3 linked regions of the Pelodiscus sinensis genome follow. The protein of the gene in region 2 binds, or shares a complex with, the protein of the main gene of each other region. Links are inferred from orthologs where the notes say so. Each region holds a gene or a part of one and is shown on either strand. Other genes may lie near its edges.

Region 1 (7,874 bases), on a different chromosome or scaffold from region 2:
CAGCGCCCCTGCTGTTCTGTCCCAGGCTCCAGATTCAGCAGCTGTTGAAACTGATCAGGCTGATTCCAGGAAGCTGGGGGCAGAGCAACTCTGCCTCCTGCTTCCTGTAGTCAGCCCCTGGTCAGTTTTAGTGACAGCAGCTGAATCTGGAGCCAGTTCCTACTTACATACAAATTCAACTTAAGAACAAACCTATAGTCCCTATCTTGTACGTAACCCAGGGACTGCCTGTATATACCAACACTTTCTTTTTGTTCTGCTGTAACCAGAATGTACCAAATGAGCTCATCGTCTATGCACACCTATTTTAATAATCTAGCAAGAAATGTGAATTCTTCACAGCTCAATATTCATTGACAGCAATATTGGCACTTCCAGAAAGACTAGTAAGTCTTCCTTAGCTCCTGACTCCAGAAAGACAAGGTAATATGAGGTCATAACTTTTAATGGACCAACTTGTATTGGTTAAAGAGAGATGCTCCAGATGGCATTCTGGGTGCAATATGTAGCTGGAATGTCTCATGTTACCTACATTAAGGTAGCTGATCCTCTCTAGTTTCCAAACAACGAGTAGTCACTAAGGTGCCACAGGCCTAACAAACATATACAATACATAAATAAAATAAATACACACACACACACACACACATTATACACACACATATTTGTTAACTTTTGTTACACACTAGAAATGTTAAATTTAGATTAATTGGCCCAGGGCTACACTTCAAAGGCGAAAGAGCTGCAAGGAGCACAGGGGACTAAAGCAGTCCCCTGCTGGCCTCAGGCCACCTGCAGCATTTCAAAGTGGCAGCATCACATGGAGGCCGGGGTCAGCTGGGGACTCAGAGTGTCCAGCTGTCCCCAGGGTCCATGCAGCACTGCTGCTCTTAAACGCTGTATGCAGAGCAGGACCAGGTGGGAACTCAAGCTGTACATGGTATTTCAAAGCGGCAGACCCCAGGCTCCATGCAGTGCTGCTACCTTGAAACACTGTATGCAGCCGGGCCAGCAGGGGACTCCCCAGCAGCATGCGGCGTTTTAACGGCACTGCCACTTCGAAGTACTCCTCCCCCACACTGCCTCTTTCTGAGAGGCAGCAAGGGAGGGGAAGTGACCAGTCAACTAGTCCAGTGTTTCTCAACCTTTTTTTTTTTTTTAAGTATCTTTAAAAAAAATAATTATAAGTATCCCCAATACCTATAGTTTTCAGACTTACACATTTTTTTCCCCATTGCGACACATTTGTTTAAACAGCTTAGTTGTAGCCGGGCAGGCGATGAAATTTTTGGCTGTAAAAAGCACAAAAATAATAAAGTGCTGTAAAACTTAAAACAAAAATTCAGTTTTCTCCAAATTTCAGTTGTGTTGACATACTCCCCAAACTTGTCTCAAGTACCCCTAAGGGTACTCATACCTCTAGTTGAGAAACACTGGACTAGTGTATCAACTATCCAATAAGCTTTTGCTTATCGGATAATAGACTAGTCATTCACATCCCTATTTACATACATATATAATTGTGAGCTTTCTTGGGCAAAACCCAGTTCTCCAAATGAGATTTTCTTGTTCCCCTTGAAACAACTGAACAATTACAAGGAAAACATATTACTTTCCTTCCTGTGGTTTTCCCACAAGAACTATGAATTTATAGTATATTTGTAATAAACCTGATCTCCTCTGGAAGAAAAATACAGAAGAAATTCTGATGTACCAACCACAAAACTACAATTTCTTCACTCCCATGAACAATATGCATACACAGCAGTCTCCAAATAATAGAGATGGTCAAAACCTAATAGCTTTCATAACTAATATTGACCATTTACCCTGCTCTTCCTTTATCAATCTCATAAACCCCTTTCTACAAAAATCCACAACTAGAAAGACAGAAGACAGTAGTAACTAAATTACTAAGTGTAGTTTCCTAAAAATCCAGATTTTTAGTATAAATGAGACACACAAGCTCCTGCAAAATAGAAGATAAATCTGCAACAGCTCAATGTTTGCAGCTGAATAAGCACTTTCACTCACAGATTTCCCAGCTACAGGAAAGAATCACATATACCTTCCCCCCCCCCCCCCCATCAATGGATGTACCAGGACTAAAAACACAGTCTTTAAAAAAATAAGAATTAGTGAAGTCAAAGTATTAAAACCACGTGGTTGGTCAGAGAGGTAAAGGACCAGAAAGTTAGAAGAAAGGGAAAACTGGCAAGAACTACTGTGTAGGAAGAAACTAGTAGCCCAGGGGAAAGAGAAGACGAGGTTACTCTTATGTCTGTAGTACGGAGCGACATGGAAAAGACATGGGTGCAGCAACTCCGGTGAGATGCAACACACAGGGAAGATGGAGAAGTCGGGGAACACCGGTGTTGCGACAGGTGGGTGACAGGACTTAGGGGGGATGATGGGGCCGGGATCTAGCTCTGGGCATGCAGCGTTGGGGAGGGACTGGACAATGACAGTGGAGCACGAGGAAGGGCGGCCGGACAGGAGGAGAGCCTGAGCCTCTGGCGTGGAGAGAAAGACGAAGCGGGATGTGGGGGTGTAGCACAGCTGAGAGCGAAGCCGGGGGAGGGTCCCAAAGAGGGAAAGGGGACAGAGACCCTGCAGGCGAAGGGAACAGCGCTGCGATCGGAGCAGGGATCCGGGACGAAGGCGCGGAGATACCCGAGCCAGGACAGGCGGGCCGGCCGGCCGGGGGCGTTACTCACCTGCGCGGTCTCTTCGCCATCCTCGAGGCGCAGCATAGAAGGAGGCGGAGACGGACTGGGGACGGCGCTGCGCGGCTCCCTGCCCGGGCTCCTCACACTGCCCCGGGGAGTCTGTGGCGGCCGTGGGGCCCGCCCCGTCACACAGCAGAAAAGGGGGCGGCTGCCTCTACCGCTCCCGGACACTCCAGCGCGTCCACCTCACTTAGCCCCGGCCTGGCCCGGCGCCCCGCACACAGATCATGGCCCGGCCCGGCTGCGGAGACAGGATCGGGGGCTGCGGACGCTTCTTGCCCAGTTCCGAGGCCCCTGTTCCCAGCTGCGTCCCCCGTTGGCCCGGCCTCCTCTGCCGCTGCGCTGCCGTCACAGGTTTTGTCCGTGCCGCCGAATCTCGCGCCCAGCCTCCTTCCAGAGCCACCGTTTGAATCTGCGCACGCGGACTGCAACCCCATTGGCTGAGGCAGCCGCACGCGATCGAGGCGGGGCACCGCGCCAGAGGGAGAAAGGGTGCGACCAGTAGGGATGAAGGGGGCGGGGCATAGAGCCAGACGGGGGCGGACCCGGAGCAGTAGGGATGAAGGGGGCAGGACATAGCGCGCTGCATCCTGGGAGAGCGAGTTTTTCTTCCCGCCAAGCCTGACGGTGTTCAACAGTGGCAGCTTGTAAGAAGCCCCACGGGCTCTGCTACGTGCTGCTGCCGCTCTTGCTTCCCAGCCCAAGGCCTTATTCTCCCCCTTCAATGTGCCTGTGCGAGGCGTCCTGAGTGAGCAGATCACTTGGAATCCGGACTCACCTATTACTGACTAAGGACAAAATGCAGGCGAACAGCCCACAGTCTGCAGGGGGAGGGAAACACATCTCGCCTAGTGCAAATGTTACCGATACAGAGATTTCTCACATTCGGCATAGAGTATAATTACAAAATCATGTCTCCTTCGAGCCGGAATCGAACCAGCGACCTAAGGATTCCCGCAGCTCCTCTACAGTCCTCCGCTCTACCAGCTGAGCTATCGAAGGGACTTCCTGGATGTTCTTGTTTCCTTTCTACATAGTCTCCTTTTCATGACTCATCCAATGTACTTTGACTTAATTTGTAATTAAAGAGCTGTCAGTATGGAATAGCAAAAAATATAGTGAGAGCAGCTTTTGTACCAAAACAAATGGAGAGAGAAATGGAGCTTTGGAGAGGCCAAATGTTCACTATTAATGCAATACAGTCCTAGGCAGACTTAAAAAAAAAAAATTTCTATAAAAACAAGTATTTGCCTTCCTCCCATGTATCTCTCTATAAAAAAGATTTTCCTGAGGGATGACAGAGTCATGTCATCATGTCACTCTGCATCCTGCAGCCCTTTCCTTCCTCTTTCCCTTTATCTCCCTAGTGTTCTGTGGCCAGGGGGAAGAGCCCTGGGCACATGTGGCCTTTCCCCCTCACACAGGGGACTGGAGCCAGAGCCACACAGCCTTCCCCCCTCGTGGGGGGAAAGCGAAGCAGCCTTCCCCCTTGTAGCAGGAGGGGGCCAGAGCCACGTGGACTTCCCCTGTCACCGTGGAGACCCAGAGCTGCCACCTGTGTATCTTTCCCCCCTGGTGGGATGGGACTGGGAGCCACATGCCCTCTCCCCTCACGGGAGGATGCCAGTTAGCCAGCTATGGCCTCAACCTAGCCCAGTCCCTCAGCAACTGGAGGGAGAAAGCCACGCCAACCACTGCCAGTGGCAGCCAGAGAGAGAGAGCCAGGCCAGCCTTGGCCCGGCCTAACCCTCGGGCGGCTGGAGTGAGAGAACTGGGCCAGCCTCAGCCCAGCCCCCCGACAGCCAGAGGAAGAGACTCAGACCAGTTGCAGCCTCAGCCTGATCCGGGTTCCCTGTGGCCGAAGGGAGAAAGCCAGGCTAGGTGCAGCTTAGGCCTGGCCCAGCCCCATGGCAGCCAGGGGTGGGGGAAAGCTAGAGCTGCCAACCCTCAGAGAGGGGAGTTGGCAAGCATAGCAAGCAGGGGGCACTGCCCCTTAGTATTTGCCTAACATTACAATACAGTCTGATATGATGTATAATCTGAGACTTGGTCTACATCACAAATGTATATTGGTATAACTATGCCCACCTAGATGAGTGACACATTAGTACTAACTTGGCCCCTGCTATAGGCAAAAATAGTTTATGGGAGGGCTTCTCCCATTAACATGGCTCTTTGGGAATTAGAGTACCTACAACAAGGGGCAATGCTCTGTTATCAGTGTAGATAGCTTCACTAACCACTACAGCAGCACAGATGCAATTGCAGCACAGTGAGTATAGACAAGCCTAAGGAATAACTTTCTCCCTTACTCCCCAGAAAAATGATTAGGAGTAAGGAAAAGAGGAAGATAAGCTTCCTCAATTATAAGGTTTTTTGTTTTGGGGAAGGGAGGTTAATTATGAAAGTCAAACTGATATTATCTTTTGCCTTTTATTCAAATCAAACACCAATAATAGGTGTTCAACCTAGTCTAAAAATAAGCAACTTTTCTACCACATTTCCTCCCCCCTTACAACCTAAGCAAAATCTACTATATATTTAAGAGAGCTTGTGTGGGAGTGCCTGTCCATGCATTCATGTTTGTTCAAGAACTCCTCCTGAACGGTAAAAGCTAGGACTACCAAATTTGATATGCAACCTTCTCTTATTCTAATTTAAAGAAAGGTCAGTGTTTGGTTATGCTAGGAATAATGGGAAGTGCCTGGAATCCGATTGTTTCTCATCAAATGGAAAGAGAGGGCTCTGATAACAGGGTCAGTTATACGTCACAATGACCACAGGGAGCAAAAAGTGCCCCAGTCCTGGGGAGCAGATGCCAGCAGAGCAGCACAGCAGCCTTGGGCTGGCCCCAGGGAGCAGCCATCAGCCAGCCAGTGCAACTCTCACCACTACAGGCCAGTGCCAGCATGGTCTTTGCCACTCCAGACCAGCCCCAGGGAGCAGCCACTGACTGCCGGTATCCACTACCCTGAGTCACCCACTCCCTGCCCTGACTCCTGCACCCTCCACCCTCAGCTTTCAACCCCCATACCTTCCAATCCCCTGCCCTGACTCCTACATCCCCACACCATGCCCTGCGCCCCCAATACCTCCTAAAACCCCTGCCTTGACTCCTGTATCTGCCACTTTTCTGTCCTGACCCCATCGCTCCTTGCCCTGAACCTCTCCCCCCCCCACACACACACCTCCCAATCCCTTGTCCTGACTCCTGCACTCCCCATTCCCTGCCCTGAGCCACTCCTCACCCCCAGTCCTGACTCCTACACCACCCACACACCTCCAGCACCCTGCCCTGAAGTACCTGAACAATGCCGGGTAAAAAGCTAGTAGTCTATAAAAACCTGAAGAGGAAATGACTAGACATTAAAAACAAACCAGAGGGTATGTCTAGACTACAGGGTTTTGTCGACAGAAGTTTTGTCGACAGTATCTGTGGACAAAACTTCTGTCGACAAAGAGCGTCTAGACACATTCAGTTCTGTCGACAAAGCAAGCTGCTTTGTCGACAAAACCCTGTAGTCTAGACACAACCCTACATGCAATAACACCTTCTGTCAACAGAACTCTGTCGACAGAAGGTGTTATGCCTCATAAAATGAGGTTTACCAGTGTCGACAAAACTGCTGAGTTCTGTCGACGTTATGTCGACAGAACTCAGCAGTAGTGTAGACGCAGGTATAGTTTTGTCGACAAAAGTCCACTTTTGTCGACAAAACTCTGTAGTCTAGACACACCCTAATTTATCATTATTGTCTACACTGAGAAAAGTGAAAGTACAGTAAAATCTCAGAGTTACGAACAATCTCCATTTGTGAGGTGTTAGTAACTCTGAAATATTTAAAAGCTTCAGAGAGGTAGCCAAGTTAGTCTGTACAGGATAAACTTAAAAAACAACAAATAGGTTTTTTTAGCACTTTATAGACTAACAAAACATGTAGATGGTATCATGAGTTTTCGTGAGCTCAGCCCACTTCTTCAGATGACCAGAGTGGTTTAGTGTACTATATTTGCTTTGTTTATTTTTTGTCCATGCTGCTGCCTGATTGTTTACTTCCAGTTCTAAATTAGGTGTGTGTTGGCTGGTCAGTTTGTAACTCTGGTGTTCATAACTATGAGGTTCTACTGTAGTAGAAAGTATATAAAGGATCAAATTCTAAAGATTGTTTCACTTAATAAACAGATTCACTTCTATCACATAGATAAGGATTTTACAAATATTTTAGATGATGATGTCTCTAAACACTTTATCCTGTAGAACCGTGGTTCTAACTGTGGCCCACTGACCACTAGTGGTCCGTGGCCACCTTGCAGGTGATCTGCATCTCAAGCTCAGCCCCTCCTTCCTCCCTCCCTCTCTTTCCCCACAGCAGGGAGCCCGCGCTGGCTTCCTGCCAGAGAGGGAGGAAGAAAGCCCCAAACCACTCAGAAGGAAGGGTCCACCTCACAGGGAAGAAGCGGTGCCAGAAGCAGCTCTGTGTGCTGCTGTTCCCCCTCCCCCACCTGAGAACAGCAATTCACAGACACGCTGCCTTGATGCTTTCCCCACTACTCCCATTGTCCGGAATCCAGCCAGTGGGAGCAGCGAAAGGCCATGCCTGAGACACTGTGCCTGGGACAGACATGGGACATGAAAGCAAGTAAGTGCCTCCGCTTTTCCCTCATGGCCAGACCCTGCACTCCCACCCCCTCTCACACACCTCCACCAAGATGTCACATCCCCAGCCCACTCCTGCATCCTCCCCTTTTGGCCAGACACCCTCTGCTCTTGCACCTTCCCCCTTGGCTGGACACCCTACACCCAGCCCTTCACTTTTTGTTACAGTGGAAACAGCAGTAAGCATGCTACACACTCCCCTGACTCCACCAGCTAGCTGGCTGGCAAAAATGTGCAGGAAAAAATAGACTAGGAATGACATGTTCAAGGAGGAAATGTAATCTGCCAATGTGGACAGGGAGCACTTAATTGAGTGGAGGAATATGCTGCTGCTGGAGATGAAAGCGGAGAAGGGTGACAGGAGAGCATACAGGGAGCTAGAAGTGAAAAACTAGGACAGAGTCTTGAAGACCATGACAGATGTGATGAACCACATGGCAACTTTCCAGGACAGCTGCATGCATGGGCACCCCTCCAGCCCTTGTTAA
Region 2 (7,403 bases):
GAAAAGTTTTTCCAGGATCTCTGGAATCCTGGAAAAACTCGTGCAGTCTAGCCGTACCCTCACCGAGTTGAGACAGGATGTGTGGGCTTTGGGGTGGGAATGAGGGATTTGGGTGTGGGAAGGGGTGAAAGGTGCAAGCTCTGGGAGGAAATTTGGATGCAGGAGGAGGTGGAGAAGGGGATGCTGGTTTGGGGAGGAGGCTTCAGGCTGGGGAGTGTTGGGGTCAGATGGAGGGTTGTGGTACTAAGCAAGCCACAGGCTTGTGGCTGTGAGGGTGCAGGAATTCGGGTTGGGGTATGTGAGAGGTTCAGGGCAGGGGGTTTCAGTGTATGATAGGCTCAGAACTAGGGCCTGGGGGGGGGGTGCAGGAGTGTTATAATGCTGCAGCCAGATGGGGGCTTGGTCCCAACTGGGGGTTTGTTGGCCAGGCTTAATTTTTTAAAAAAATACTACGTCAAACACAAAAAGTTTCTGCATTGTCTTTATTTATGAGAAGGGCAGGGAACCTGTTTTGCGTCGGGGGTCACTGACCCACAGAAAAGTTAGTTGGGGCCACACGAGATGAAAAAAAACCACACCCACACACCACACCACACCTCCTGCCAAAAACCCCCGAAGCCTCACTAATGTGGCCCCAACTGTGCTGGTGAGAGCAGGGGACATGGTACTGGGGAAGGGTACTAGTGGTTGCTGGGGTGGGGGCAGGGTTCTGCAGCAGGGCACAGGGTACCAGTGGGAGCAGGGGGACAGCGTGCCAGGGTGGAGGCAAGGTGCCAGTGGGGAACAGGAGAGAGGGGACAGGGTTCTGCAGCACGGGACAGGGTGCAAGTGGGGGCAGGGAGTCCCTGGCACCAGCCTCTTCCCAGGACCCTCCTCCTGCAGAGGAGAGAAATCCCCGCTCGTGCCTTCTCCGGGGCCAACTCCCCTTCCTGAAGAGGAGGGAAGCCCCCACAGCTGCAGGACTTCTGTCCACCCCACAGAAAGCAGGCACTACCTCCATTTTTGCTGGAGGTAGGTAGTGGGGCTTCTTGGGGGAGGAGGGTGGCCCGAACACCTCACGATCGACTGGTCAAGCCCTCGCAATCGATTGACCAGTTGGTGACCACGGTTGAGTACAGACTAACTCAGCTACCCCCTGAAGCTATCAATTAGAGCGTCCATGCTAAATGAGACTAACAGGGTGATTTTGCCTTCATTAGGAAAAGGCTAGGTCCTTGAGTTCACACATCGTAAGGGGAGAGACTCCACACGCCCCCCCCCTTCCCTTTATGGTGCAACCACTAACATCACCATTATTAAAAACCAACAAATAGTCTTTAAAGTGCTACTAGTAGACTAACAAAGCATGTAGATGGTATTATGAGCTTTCATGGACACAACCCACTTCTTCAGATGACCAGAGTGCTGGAAGTCCAGGTCCAAGAATAAATAAGGGAAGGAAGGAGAAGGAAAAAAAGTTGAAGGGGAGGAAGAAAAAAAGACAGCGAGCAGATAGTCAGCTATCCCTCTGAAGGTTAAGTCTGTAATAGGAAAAACTTAAAAAACAACAAACAGTATACAGGCAGTCCCCGGGTTACGAACAAGATAGGGACTGTAGGTTTGTTCTTAAATTGAATCTGTATGTAAGTCGGAACTGGCATCCAGATTCAGCCACTGCTGAAACTGACCAGCGGCTGACTACAGGAAGCCCGAGGCAGAGTTGCTCTGCCCCGGGCTTCCTGGAATCAGCCTTTGATCAGTCTCAACAGGCTGAATCTGGACGCCAGTTCCTACTTACAGATTCAACTTAAGAACCCCAGGCATCCCCAAGTCAGCTGCTGCTGAAACTGATCAGAGGCTGATTCCAGGAAGCCCGGGGCAGAGCAACTCTGCCTCGGGCTTCCTGTAGTCAGCGCTGGTCAGTTTCAGCAGCGGCTGACTTGGGGACCGCCTGGGGCAGAGCAGCTGGGGTGCTGCCGGGTTGGTCCAGTAGCGCCCAGAGTGGTGCTGCGGGACCAACCGGCAGCGCCCCAGCTGCTCTACCACAGGCGTCCGGAGAAAAGCCGGGTCTGCTGGGGGGGGGGGGGGCGTACTAGCTGCGCCCCTCCCTCCCCCCACAGAAGACCAGGGAAACGCGGGCGGCGGACCGAGAAGCTGCCTGGGTCCTCCGCGTCTCCCTGGTCTGCTGGACACCAGCAGACCAGGGAGACGGGGAGCAAACCCCGTTCGTAACTGCGGATCCGACATAAGTCGGATCCGCGTAACTCGGGGACTGCCTGTAGTAGCATCTTAGGCTACGTCTAGACTGCAAGCCTCTTTTGAAAGAGGCTTTTTCGAAAGATACTTTCGAAGTTAAGCTCCAATCCGTCTCTGTGCATTAGGCTTGTGGAATTGGTCTGAAACAAAACAGCCACTGGGGGATCCCTCCCTCCATCCCTTATTTAGTCTTGGAGCTGGACTTCCAACTCTCCAGTCACCTGAAGTGGGCTGGGACCAGGAACGCTCAGAATACCAGCGGCACCTTTCCTTAGTCTTCCAAGTGCTACCGGACTGCTCGCTGTTGTTTACGTTTTTCCTGTTGCAGACTCACTCTGCTCCCTCCTGGAGCTGATCCCCGTTCCCATCATGATCACCCGGGGCAGAGCCGCAGGACCCCGGCACAGGGCTACGGAGCCTTTCCCCCCGCTGGGAGGCGGGTCCCGGCGGCAACCACAAAGGAGGCGAGTCCCCCCCCCTCGCAACTAGGGCTTGGCGTCCGCCCCTCCCCCTCGGCCGCCCCGCCCGTCACCGTGGCCGCCCCTCACCTCCAGGGTGTAGTTGCGCCTCATGCTCTGGTAGCTGAGCCAGGCCTCGGCCCGGGCGCGCTCGTCCATGTTGAGGCTGTTGCAGAGATCCTCGTAACGCTGCCGGACGCCCCACTCCTCCGCCGGGGGGGAGGAGGCGGCGCCCCCGACCCCCGCTTCGGCCTCCTCGTCCTCTTCGCCCGGCATCCCCTACCCCGTCGCTAGAGGGCAACGCCAGCCTGCCGCGCACTGCGCCTGCGCCGCCCCAGACCAACCACCCCGGGACCGAGTTCCGCCCCAACCCTGGACTGCCATTGGTCCCCCAAGGAGCCGCCGCCAATCAGCGGGCGCTTTTCCGGCAGGCGCAGAACGCTTCGCTCTACGCAGCCGCCGGCGACGGCGTCTCAGCGACCTATCGCGGCAAGACGTGCCCGCCGCCCCGGCCCACAGTTAGCCAGCAAAAACTACCACCCCCAGGAGGCATTGCGGTGGCTCTGGCTCGCCGGGGCCTGACGCGTAGGCCAGGTGGTAGCGGCGCGCGCAGCGCTGTGAAGGAGGCCGGCCGCCTCTAGGCGGCAGGCTGGTTCCGCAGCTCCTCGCTGCCTGGTCCCAGCATGGAGCCCCGCCCTGAAATAGCGCTGCGGGGAGGCGCGTGAAACAATGGCCACGTGGCGGCCGCGCTGCCTTTCGCATTCGGTCCGGGGGGGGCTGCGATTCTGCACCGTGACACGTCACAGAGCTAGGCCGGGGCAGCGGCAGTTCCCAGCCAGCTTGTCTGGCCGGGGTGCAGCCGCGTGCAGGCAGGGGTGCAGCCGCCCCACTTGGTTTCCGCACATGCAGAGTTACATTCCGATTCAGTGGCTCTCCGCACCGGTGAAGAAGCGATGGGACAGGACCTGGAGGAAATGTTACTTGCACCGCTGCTGCTCATTGGTTACCCCTCATGATTACACACAACCCCCCAGCTTTGTGTAGGGCACAGGAGCCAATGCCCCTGGAAGGTTCCAGTCTACTGCCTAGGTTAGAAGGCAACAAATGAAACATTCCCATTGTGGTGGTAGCCAACGCTGGGCTCCACGGTATTTGTGAATGTAAGGGGAGATGTGATCTGTCGGGGAAGGGGAAAGGGCAATACTCAGCATCTAACCCGAGCAATGAGAGCACAGTGAGGAGAAGTGCACATCAGACTTCGACAGTTTTATGAAAGGTGTCCCTGCCATTAGTGTGTCTGCCTGTAATACTCCCTCTCCTCTTTCCAACACAAGCCATAAGCAGACTACCCATTAAGAAATTAATGCCTTTTTATTTAGGGAACATAGCAGGGACAGAAAAGAAGGCCAGAGCAGGAACTGAAGGATGTGAATGCGTACAGGGGCAACCCATGGACCTAGGCAATTGCCTAGGGCACCATGGGTCCAGGCGCCTGATGATGTCATGATTACATCACAGCCATTGACAGCCATGCAGGCACAGGTGCCGATCGCACCTTCCGCCTAGGGCACCAGCTGCCACAGTGAGCTTCGGACCGCTTCTGAATGTGTATGATCACAATTGCAAGGACAGCCTTTTGTTTCAAGACATATCCCTCAGGGTCGAGTGTGAGTGACTCCCACACTCTGTTCTAGGGCCATAGGAGAGGAAGCTATGAAAATCTCTGAGGAGGGAATGTTGTTCTGCAAGGGCTGGAGAGGGTGCCTGTTCATGTAGGCATTCTGGAAAGCTGCCATGGGGTCCATCACAACCACCACACACATCAAGATGATCCTGGTTCCTCACTTCCAGTTACCTGCATGTTCTCCTGTCCTCATGTTCCATGTACATCTCCTTCAGCAGCGTATTCCTCCTTTTGCTTAAGCACTCCCTCTTCAATTTGGCGGACTGCACTTGTTCCTTGAACAAGCCATTCCTAGTCTGTTTTCGCCTGCAGATTTGTAACAGCTTGATAGCTCTGTGGGGCCAGCGGAGTTAGCAGCAGGCTCACAGCTGTTCCTGCTGTAATGAAAAGTGGAGAGCAGCCCTAATAGGAGATACATTGTAGGCATAAAACCTAATGTGTCAGAATGAAAGGAAGTGGCCACAAAGTAAATCCATTACTGTAGCTCTTTTCACCAAGAATAGATGGGGGAAATTAAACAATCCTTTCAAACTTATGTATCAATACAATTTAAGACTGAAAATCAGGGAAAGTGAAGCCAACATTTTAAGCCTTTGTTGTAAAAAATTTTAACTGTGTCTGTTTGGTCTCCTCATATTCGAACAAGTTGATTTGAGTTTTTGTTTTAAACACTTTTCTGCTATAACCGCTCAAAATTGTCCAAACCTTTTCAATTTACGGTCCTGATCCTGCAGATCCTCAGCTGGTGTTAATTGCAATCATTCAGTGGATTTCAGTTGAGCTGTAGCAGTTTACACAAGTTGAAGATCAGGGTCTGTGAACCTGTAGTGATTGGGATTACTCATACAATGCAGAAAGTGAAGTACACTCATTCTTTGCACGGTTATGGCCTAAATGTTCAGGAGGACTAAGAAGGACCCACTGGAAATTACCCTGTAACTATTTACAAAAATAATAAATACAACCTCCTGAATTAGAAAGATAAAATCACTTAAAACAGATAAAATTATTATTTTAAACATGGCACAGTCTTCATAGCTAGCTTTGTGCCAGGGCAATTGTTTTATAGATTTCTGCTCAATAAAAAACAATTATGAAATATTTTTATCACAATGTTTGGTGATAAATATATTAATTGATTTAAAATAGTGATAATTTCCACTGAAAAGTCTCCCTTAAAAGTTAATCTGCTAATATGCACAAAGCTCAGTTGTGCAAAATAAGATCAATACACAACTTAAACATTAACTCATTGTATCCCTCTAACTCACTGCTCAGAGCCATCTCAGGCCTTGTCTACACAAAATTTTCAGTCACCAATACTACTGAACTGGTGTAACCCCTAATGTAGACACTAATTATGCCAATGGAGTTCTGGTCCATGTTTACAGCTCCCAGATGCTATAGCAGTCCACATAATACTAGACTTTTCACCCTGGAAAGTGCTCTGAGAAAGAGAAACATGATATTTCTTACAAGACGACCAGGGTTGCAGGGAACTTTGGGAGACAACATATGGGTTTTTACATACATCACATTGTTCACTTCCTGAAACAGCTGAACTTCTTTGAATGCAGTAGTCTCAAAGTGAATTGTTCCTGACAAAGTGGCATTCTAAAACCAAAATCAAGTATGTCCATTACTGTAGACCAAGCAGTGCGCCCATAATTTTACAGACAATTCTATCAGAATTTGCAGGCCCATATGCAGGAATTTCTGGGTGGGTGTGCTTTTTCATAAATTTAGACTGCAAAGATGTGACCGCATCTCCCCCACCCTGGTCTCCCAAGTAAGCTGGAAATCAGCCTCAGCCTTCCCCTGGCCGACTAGAGGATGTGGGAGGGAGGCTGGGACAGGGCACCTCTCCTGCCTTTCCCCAGTTAACTGGAGCATGTTTACTTGGGGAACCATGGTGGTGGTGGTGGTGGCTGGGGGGGGGGGGGTTGCACCCTTCGTATTCTCCTTGTGCACAAGCTTGATTTGTGTGGCAAAGTAGTAAGGCAGAACAAAAATCCTTCATACATGTTACTGTCATGCTGCCTTGTGACCCAATTTTATGTTACCTACTGCCAGGTGAGTGATCTAGTTGACACTGCAGCAACCTTACTATATAAACCAAATGGCTGGCAATCTTGAGCACCAAGGCAATGATCTCAAAACCTTTACACTGGCAGATGACTGAATCCACTCTGGTCATTTGGGTAGGGAGAGAATAAATATAGGGGCAGATTTTTGAAGTAATGGCTACTAAGTTGCCATCTACCTTGGAGACTAAGTAGTATTTCTTAAAGGATACAGGGTACTTATTAGTCATATCTTGATCCAGGTTAGGTTAGTCCAGGGTAGGCAATAAGACAACAGTGGTTCACCAGGATAAGCCCCTGGCGGGGTACCGCTGCTATATTTACTGGTGCCTCCACAGGTACCGCTGCTTATCCCCTTTCAAAGCTGAGAGATATCTGACAGCTGAGTAAGCTGCTCTGTTTGGGGAACAAAGAACAAATCATTGGAATGTTGTTTTGTCCTGCATTGGGAACACAGTAGCAGGCAGCCTGCTGGTGTGAGGGCAAGGGTATAGACGCTGTTCTGCTTTGACATTTCTCAGCATGGAGGGCTCACAAAGCTACTCATCATGCTGCTCCCAGCAGCTGAGGCTGTGGGAGAACTCAGAGGGAAACCCAAGATGTTCACAGATCAGCTCTGCCTTCCCACTACATAGGTGATGATGGTGTCCCCAAAGTGGACATGATCTGTTGACCAAGGGAGCAAGTGTGAACACCCTCTGGTGATTTTTGTTTTGATGACTTTTGGGTGTCGACATAAGTGTAGGCATACCATTTGAGATCGGGCCAGGGAGCGAGAAGGGGACCCATGCTCCGAAGAGGCCTGAGTTGTCTGCTGAACAAACCAGGGAGAGGCCACTGGCATCAATGTTCTGGGCCTGTTTTTCTTAGGTCCAGGAGACTTGCCCTTGCCTTACCTAGTGAGCGGTGCCAGTTAGCGGTGCCATCAGGCCAGCAGTGCTT
Region 3 (8,095 bases), about 13 Mb from region 2:
GATTTCTTCTCAATCAGCCCGATGCCCTCCAGGACATTTGTGATGTCGTAGATTCGCCGCTTCTGCCGCACGGCCAAGGTGTCTGCTGCCTGCCGAATGGAGATGGGTGGCTGACTCCGGAAATTCACAGCTACAGCCGGCCTCCCGCGGGCACCACATTTTCCCCGTCGGGGGTCAGAGCCCCATACTTCCGACAGCACCTCCTCTGTGCCCCTGCTTCTCAAGCTGCAGAGAGGACCCTGCTCCCCAGGACTTCAAAACTACCACTGATCTTCCCCACAATCCAACTTCTCATTGCACTAAAACCCCTGCTGTCCCAGAGCCAGCCCGGCCACCTCCCCAGCTCCTCTGGAGCCCGCCAGGACTGCGCCTCTCTGGGACAATGCCCCGGGAGGGTCCTCCGTATTTCAGCCCCTAGCTCCATTCTCTTTTGGAGCAGATTAGGAAGGCTGTGGTGAGGCAGCTCTTATGCTACCCAAAGTCCTCAGCTTTCCTCGGCTGACTTGGCTCTAGGGGAAGGGGCAGGGAACCTTTTTGGGTTGGGGGCCACTGACCCACAGACAAATCAGTCGGGGACCACACACAAAAAACCCTCATTGATGTGATGCCCGACGGAAGCAGAAAGATGCTTCCTACATTTCCCTTGCACACCAGAGCCTGGGGGCCCAGCCGTGATTTTCTGTGCTCCAGCCGTGTGGTGAGACAGCGGGGGGCTGGAGCACCAGTGCGGGTCCCCAATGCAAGCGGGGGGCCCTGAGCCTTAGGGGCTGGATCCAGGCAAGCTGCGGGCTGCATTCAGCCCCCAGGCCTGAGGTTCCCACAAGAAGTTTCCAGGGGTGGATCTGTTCTTTGGTTGGCAGGAACAGCCGTACCTTAACACTCAGCGCGCCCCTGGGTGCCTGCCAAGGGAAGTTACTCCAGTTCCCATCCCAAGTAACCCTAAGTGTGAATTCCATGGGCGCTGGGTCAGTGTGAATGCATCGTATGTCTGTACTGATATGCCCAGCGCCACACTGCACTGGATACTGCAAAAGACACAAGCCTGGTCACTTTCCTACACAGCTGTGCTCCACAAGCCACTGCTCTGTTTCAATGATGCTGACAAACACGAGTCCCAACTGCCCGCCGCTTTTGGAGCAAACGCCCACCGCTTTTCTGTCCCAGCCTGAACCTCTTAGTCACCTCCTGCACATGCCCGAAGCCAGAAAGAGCAGCAGTGGGAACACAGACAGCTGAGGCGACACACACATGGGTATCACTCCATGGAGGCATGCTGCACTGCTGGAAGACAAGAGCTAGGTTTCGGCTTTGGACATGGCAGGGAGATACCGTGAGAAAAGATCTCCAATGGCCAGGGACAAGGATAAGTGCCTATGCCAATTCGCCACTAGGGATGTGAATCGGTAGCTGGTTGCCCAGTAAGCAGGTACCAGTTAACTGACACCTGGGAGCTGCCCCCTGCATTTAACCAGTTAACCAATTAAATAGGACTGGACATCCCTAACCCAGGGGGTTGGGTCTTCACCTGGCATCCTAACCACCATGCTACAGACTAGGTGGAAGTGCCTCTCGCAGAGCTCAGAGCCCATTCCTGTTCTGAAAAATCTTCCCGGCAAAAGTTTCCTCAAAGCTGACTGGCTCTGTGAAAAGTTTCGGTTTTGCCAAATCAGCATTCTCCCCGCTCCCCCCCCCAAAAAAGCCCCACACCAAGCCACTTTAGAGCCACAAACTGCTGACCCGCTTGAGAAGAGTCCTGCTGCCTCCTAGCCATGCCTGGATGCACAAGTGCTTCCTTGAGCCTCCCGTTTTCAGTCCTCCAGCCCTGGGTTCCCATGCGGATCCGAGCCTGATGCCTCAGGCAGCAACTGCAGCACTGCGGATCCAAGGGAGATTCCTCCACACACATGGCATGATAAGCAGCGGCTCCCAGGGCAGAGGCTGCTCGGGAGGCCGGGAAAGCAGGATGCAGCCAAGCACCAGGGAAGGGCATTGAACAAGGTCCGAGATACCACAAATACACCCGAGATCAATGTTGCACTCCCACTTACCCCCGTCCTACCCATATCACAGCCTTACCTGTGGCCTCCTAACCCCCTCCAATCTGCCCCTCGCAGCCCCCGCCACCCACCTGCTTCTCCCTCCGCAAGCTTCAGTGTATTCAAAGAAACCTTTTTCGTATTGAATCTCCCAAATTGTCGAGTCTGACAAGGCTGCTCATCAGGGTGCAATGAGCCACACGTTAGTGATCTCGGAGGTGCTGGGGTGAGACAGCTTTGGGGACAGTCTATGCAGTGCGCTTTTGTGATGCATAAACATGCAGGTTGCCACGTGTGTGGGCAAACGCGTATTCACCTGGGGCACAGACCAGATGCAAGCTCCAGATTTGCAGAGCTTCAGCCAGAAACGATCTGATTTGCTCTCCTCCCCTAGCAGCCAGGTCTCCCCCACCTCCAGACTGGAGGAGGCAGAACCCTAAAGATCATTTGGAAACTTCAGCTAGTGGAGAACCGCACCCCCACTTGCTTAGCAGTGATTTCCCTGAGCTCCGCAGACTGTGCTGGCTTCCTGCTCGGCCCCCTGCAACACACGGTGCTGACAGTGACCTACGCATCCCTTTCAAGCTGGTGTCCTGCTTAATGCAGGGCTGCCACTTGCGAAGAGCGACTGCGCTGGGGTGGATCCAGGCTACGATCTCCCGGTGACGGGGCTGTGGACTCTGGATTGTTTCCCTGCAGCGGGGCGCGGAGCAGACGCGCAGGCCCTCGGGGGGCGCGGGACCAGGGTCTGGCTCTGTTCCGGGGTGGCGACGACTCCCCTCAGCGTGTCACCGCCCCCCGGGACAGGGACCCCCCCACTTACAGCCCCCCCCCGACAGGCTCCACCCGGCCCCAGGCCCTGCACAAAGCGGGCGCCAGAGGGGGGAGGCCCCGTACGCCCCCCCCGGAGAGACCCCCCCGGGCCGCACCAGCTTGAGGTCCAGGACCCCGTCCTTGGCCTCCTGCAGCAGCGACACGAACTTGGTGGTGAGCAGCCCCAGGCTCTTCTCGTGCCGGCTCGGGGCCCCCGGGGGCTGCGGCCCGGACTCCGCCATCTGCCTCCCCGCGCGCCGCTTCCGCTTCCGCCGCCGCCCGCGGGGCAGGCCGGGAAGCCGCGCCGGAAGCCAGGGGGCGGGGCCGCTGCCGCCCGCGCGGGGAGTCACGTGGCGCCGGGGGGCGGGGCCGAGGCGGGGCCCCGCCTCGCGCCCGGCCACTAGCTGGGGGGTGTGTGTGTGTGTGTGTGTGTGTGTGTGACGAGTGCTGCGCGCCGGTTGCCAACTTCCCGGACCGCACGGAGCGGACCCCACTCGCGGCAGCGCCGCCCCGGCCGGGAAGTTGGCACCTGCGCCCCGTGGCCCCCCGGCCCGTAGCCCCCACGGCGCCTGGGGACCCTGCCCCTCGGGGGCTCCGGCCACGGTGGCGCGGCAGGGGGGGCTCGGCGATCCGGAGTGCGGGGGGGCTCGGGGTGCGGGGGGGGGCTCGGCGAGCCGGGGTGCGGGGGGGCTCGGGGTGCGGGGGGGGGCTCGGCGAGCCGGGGTGCGGGGGGGCTCGGGGTGCGGGGGGGGGCTCGGCGAGCCGGAGTGGGGGGGGGCTCGGGGTGCGGGGCTCGGCGAGCCGGAGTGGGGGGGGGCTCGGCGAGCCGGGGTGCGGGGGGGCTCGGGGTGCGGGGGTGCGGGGGGGGGGCTCGGCGAGCCGGGGTGCGGGGGGGCTCGGGGTGCGGGGGGGGGCTCGGCGAGCCGGGGTGTTTGTTTATTCACAGCCAGGTTTGCTTCTACTGATGGTGCACATTCACATGTGCCTTGGTGCATGTAGAAAAAAATATTCTGCACATAGATGGAAAAGATTAGAGGGAACATTGCTTCTCAGACGAATTCCAGACCAGTTCCCCCAGAATTACCTGTAAGACCTTCTTAAAGGGCTTTCCTAAAACCAATCTCCGTAATTTAACTGACCCAAACATTAAAAAACAACAAATAGTCTAGCAGCACCTTAAAGACTAATAAAACATGTAGCTGGTACAACCCACTTCCTCAGATGAGTGGAGAGAATTCAGATTTGGTCTCATGTTCACTCCTGGTCCGGGAGCAGATCTGGCCCCGGGCCCCAGCATTGGAAATACAAGCTGAACTCCAGGGCGTGGTTCACTCTGATAAAAGCTTCCTTTAGGAAGCAAACGCCTTCACTGCTTTCTGGCTAGCTCCACTCTTAGTTTTCACTTTTTTTCCTCCCCGGGGCAAGTCTGGCGTGTCCACACGAAAAACACTGGTTCCTTTTATGTCAACCCGCTTGGATGAGTCTGGGCCCAGGGAGGTTAGCTGATTGATTCCCTTTGACCACAATTCTTGAAGAACACGAAACTTAAAAATACAGAACCTCCCAAATTAAGTTTTCATTCACAAACTAGGAATCATTTCCCCTTTCATGCATAATATTTTAAGTGTTGCACTCACATAAATACAAAGCCTCAGACAGGTCGCCGTGGTAGTCTGTAGTTTCAAAAACAACTACAAGACCGGTGGCACCTTACAGACGATGATATGTGTGGGCATAAGCTTTCATGGGTAAAAACCACTTTGTTCGATGCATGGAGTCCATGTCCTTTTAGAACCTCAGGGATCAACTTCTCAGCCCAATGCTTTCAAGTAGGAATAAGAGATCCTCCGGAAAAGGGCTTTATTCCGGAGGATCGTGCCAGTCTAGACGCTTTTTTCCAGCTTTTCCCCAAGCCGGAAAAAAGCGGCGGACATGTTTATTTAAATCCCGCGGGGGATATTTAAATCCCCCGCGGATTTCCCTATTCTGACTTACCTGCTTTGCATCACTTTTCCGGAATTTGGGGCCAGTGTAGACGTAGCCAAAGTGTTTTTGTCTCCACTTCTGGAAACTCTGGAAGAATTCCACCATGATTTCAACAGCTTCCACCCCACCATCAACTGCAGCCTGGACCAGTCTACACAAGAGAGCCACTTCCTGGGCAGCACGGTGTAAATAAGTGATGATCACATAAACACCTCCCTATACCAGAAACCTACTGATCGCTATACCTACCTTCATGCCTCCAGCTTCCATCCCGGACACACCACACGATCCATTGTCTACAGCCAAGCATTAAGTTACAACCGCATCTGCTCCAACCCCTCATACAGAGACCAACACCTACAAGATCTTCACCGAGCATTCTTGAAACTACGATATCCAAGTGAGGAAACAGACTAAAAGAGCCAGACATGTACCCAGAAGCCTCCTACTACAAGACAAGCCCAAGAAAGAAACCAAGAGAACACCACTGGCCATCACCTACAGACTTCAGCTAAAACCTCTCCAACGCATCATCAGTGATCGACAACCCATCCAGGACAATGATCGCCCACTTTCACAGGCCTTGGGAGGCAGGCCAGTCCTCGCCCACAGACAACCCGCCAACCTGAAGCAAATTCTCACCAGCAACTATACACTGCACCACAGTAACTCTAACTCAGGAACCAATCCCTGCAACAAACCTCAGTGCCAACTTTACCCTCATATCTACACCAGCGACACCATCACAGGACCTAACCAGATCAGACACACCATCACTGGTTCATTCACCTGCACAGCTACCAATGTAATATACGCCATCGTGTGCCAGCAATGCCCCTCTGCCATATACATTGGCCAAACTGGACAGTCCCTACATAAAAGAATAAATGGACACAAATCTGATATTAGGAATGGCAGTATACAAAAACCTGTAGGAGAACACTTCAATCTCCCTGGACACACAGTAGCAGAACTAAAGGTAGCCATCCTGCAGCAAAAAACTTCAAGACCAGACTTCAGAGAGAAACTGCTGAGCTACATAGTTCATCTGCAAATTTGACACCATTAGTTTAGGATTAAACAAAGACTGTGAATGGCTGGCCAACTACAAAAGCAGTTTCTCCTCTCTTGGTGTTCATACCTCCACATCAGCTGCTAGAAGAGGGAGTCATAGTGGAGAGCAGCCAAAGCAAAAGAGCTCCCAAGGTGATGCTGTGGCCGAAAGGACTAATTCGATTCTTGGCTTTCATATTACATAGGACATACGCACACAGACCACAGCTGGAATATGGTGTCCAGTTCTGGTACCCATGTTTCTAGAGCCTGACAAATTTGTGGATACCCACTTTATATCCGCGGGTGACCGCATCCACAGCTGCGGATACCCACAGCTCATTTTTGTGGATACAGATACAAATCGGCTGCGTCTAGATTGGCATGTTTTTCCGGAAATGCTTTTAACAGAAAAGTTTTCCGTTAAAAGCATTTTCGGAAAAGAGCGTCTAGATTGGCATGGACACTTTTCCGCAAAAGCACTTTTTGTAGAAAAGCATCGGTGCCAATCTAGATGCGCTTTTCCGCAAAAAAGCCCCGATCACCATTTTCTCAATTAGGGCTTTTTTGCAGAAAACAAATCTGAGCTGTCTACACTGGCCCTTTTGTGCAAAAGGGACTTTTGCCTGAACGGGAGCAGAATAGTATTTCCGAAAGAAGCACTGATTTCAGACAGTAGGAAGTCAGTGCTTTTGCGGAAATTCAAGCGGCCACTGTAGACAGCTGGCAAGTTTTTCCGGAAAAGCGGCTGATTTTCCAAAAAAACTGGCCAGTCTAGACACAGCCATTTTGTATCTGCGCAGGGCTCTGCATATTTGAAGAAGGGTTCAGGAAAAGCTGCAAGAATATTAGGTACCGGAGAGGAGGCTTATAGCGAGAGGCTTATGACACTCAGTCTATTTATCTTGTCAAAACAAAGATGAGGCACTGATGAGATCATGGTCTGTCACCACTTACACAGGGAGATCTCTGAGGACGGGCTCATTAATCTTCCTATGTATTTTAGAAACTTGCATCTGTCTGTGAGTCCATTTGTTCAAGAATCCTCCTAACGGGTACAAGCTGGCATAACGCTGACACGGGAATTGAGCCTAGGACCTCTGGAGCTTAGTGCACGAGTCTCTACCACACAAGCTAAAAGCCAGCTGGCTCTCAGGTAATGCTGTAGAGCAGCCTCATTAGTCTCTCTTGACTTGGTCCCAGTGCCATAAGTGGGATAGTGCACCGCACCCAGCAGGTGTGAGGGTTACACGAGGATCACCTGATTTGGTAGGCAGCTTCCTCTTTACCATCACTCAAAGCGAGGTCGGGTTGGGTTGTGCCAGGACAATGGGATGTTCCTGGAATGGGACTGTTTCATAGCAAATGGAAAGGGAGGGGTTATGCTCACACATGGCAGCAAGTGCCCCTATCAGCGGTCCCTGATCAGCAGTACGGACCCTGCTACCCTGGCCCAGGAGAAGCCAGCCTGTCTTGGACCCGGGTAAGTCTTCTAGATAAAGACACAATGAAATCCAGTAGCTGGAAGTGGAGCTAGACAAATTCATCCTGGGCCCATGACACACAACAGTGAGGGGCAGTAATAAGTAAAAGTACCTGCCAAGGCACATGGTGCATTCTCCATCACTGAAAACATTTCCATCAGAACTCATTGTCTTCCTGGGACAGCCACAAATTCTTGGGCTTAACACGGGAATTACAAGTTACTTTTTTTTGGCCTTGTGTGAAGCAGGCAGGACATGAAAAGTGTCCCCTCCCTCTCTCCCCCGGTGGGCCTATCTGCTCCTGAAATCTACAAAGCTAGGAGCTACGCCCAGGCTTATATTTTGTAAATGTATATTGCACGTCAAGGCCCGGCTGAGATGTTTCTGCACAGTTGGGCAATTATCTTAGCAGGCGCTCTTCGGTCCGGAGGAACGCTGGATGTGTTGGAGGGATGCTGTGGTTTCAGCGGGGTCACTCAAAATCCGATGTCTGCAATAGAAAGGTGTACGTCCGATATTTCGGCTTGGAACTGTGCCTTTCTTCTTTCCGTTTCTGGGATTGCTTCGTGTGGTACTAACCTTCGATTCTCATCCTTACTTCGGCGTAAATCTCCAGAATTGCCTTAAACGCAGGACTCAGCTAGCAGGGGGGACAGGAAAGGGTTAAATGACTTCAGCGGGGATTTCCCTACACCCCCCCCATGGGGGTGTATACCCCCCCTG

The links. Proteins that work in one complex are often made in the same cells at the same time.
Region 1: RBL2 (region 2) and MYBL1 share a complex: the UniProt entries of both Homo sapiens proteins name them as parts of the DREAM complex. The link is inferred for Pelodiscus sinensis from reciprocal best matches to the Homo sapiens genes RBL2 and MYBL1.
Region 3: RBL2 (region 2) and E2F4 share a complex: the UniProt entries of both Homo sapiens proteins name them as parts of the DREAM complex. The link is inferred for Pelodiscus sinensis from reciprocal best matches to the Homo sapiens genes RBL2 and E2F4.

What each region holds. Positions count from the first base shown.
Region 1 is NC_134712.1:58,192,098-58,199,971, reverse strand, and holds the start of MYBL1 (myb-related protein A), read right to left. Parts: upstream 3,147-7,874; 5' UTR 2,738-3,146; coding exon 2,718-2,737; intron 1-2,717. UniProt on the Homo sapiens protein: Transcription factor that specifically recognizes the sequence 5'-YAAC[GT]G-3'.
Region 2 is NC_134722.1:33,781,713-33,789,115, reverse strand, and holds the start of RBL2 (retinoblastoma-like protein 2), read right to left. Parts: upstream 3,136-7,403; 5' UTR 2,970-3,135; coding exon 2,784-2,969; intron 1-2,783. UniProt on the Homo sapiens protein: Key regulator of entry into cell division. Directly involved in heterochromatin formation by maintaining overall chromatin structure and, in particular, that of constitutive heterochromatin by stabilizing histone methylation.
Region 3 is NC_134722.1:47,082,541-47,090,635, reverse strand, and holds the start of E2F4 (transcription factor E2F4), read right to left. Parts: upstream 3,147-8,095; 5' UTR 3,092-3,146; coding exon 2,966-3,091; intron 90-2,965; coding exon 1-89. UniProt on the Homo sapiens protein: Transcription activator that binds DNA cooperatively with DP proteins through the E2 recognition site, 5'-TTTC[CG]CGC-3' found in the promoter region of a number of genes whose products are involved in cell cycle regulation or in DNA replication.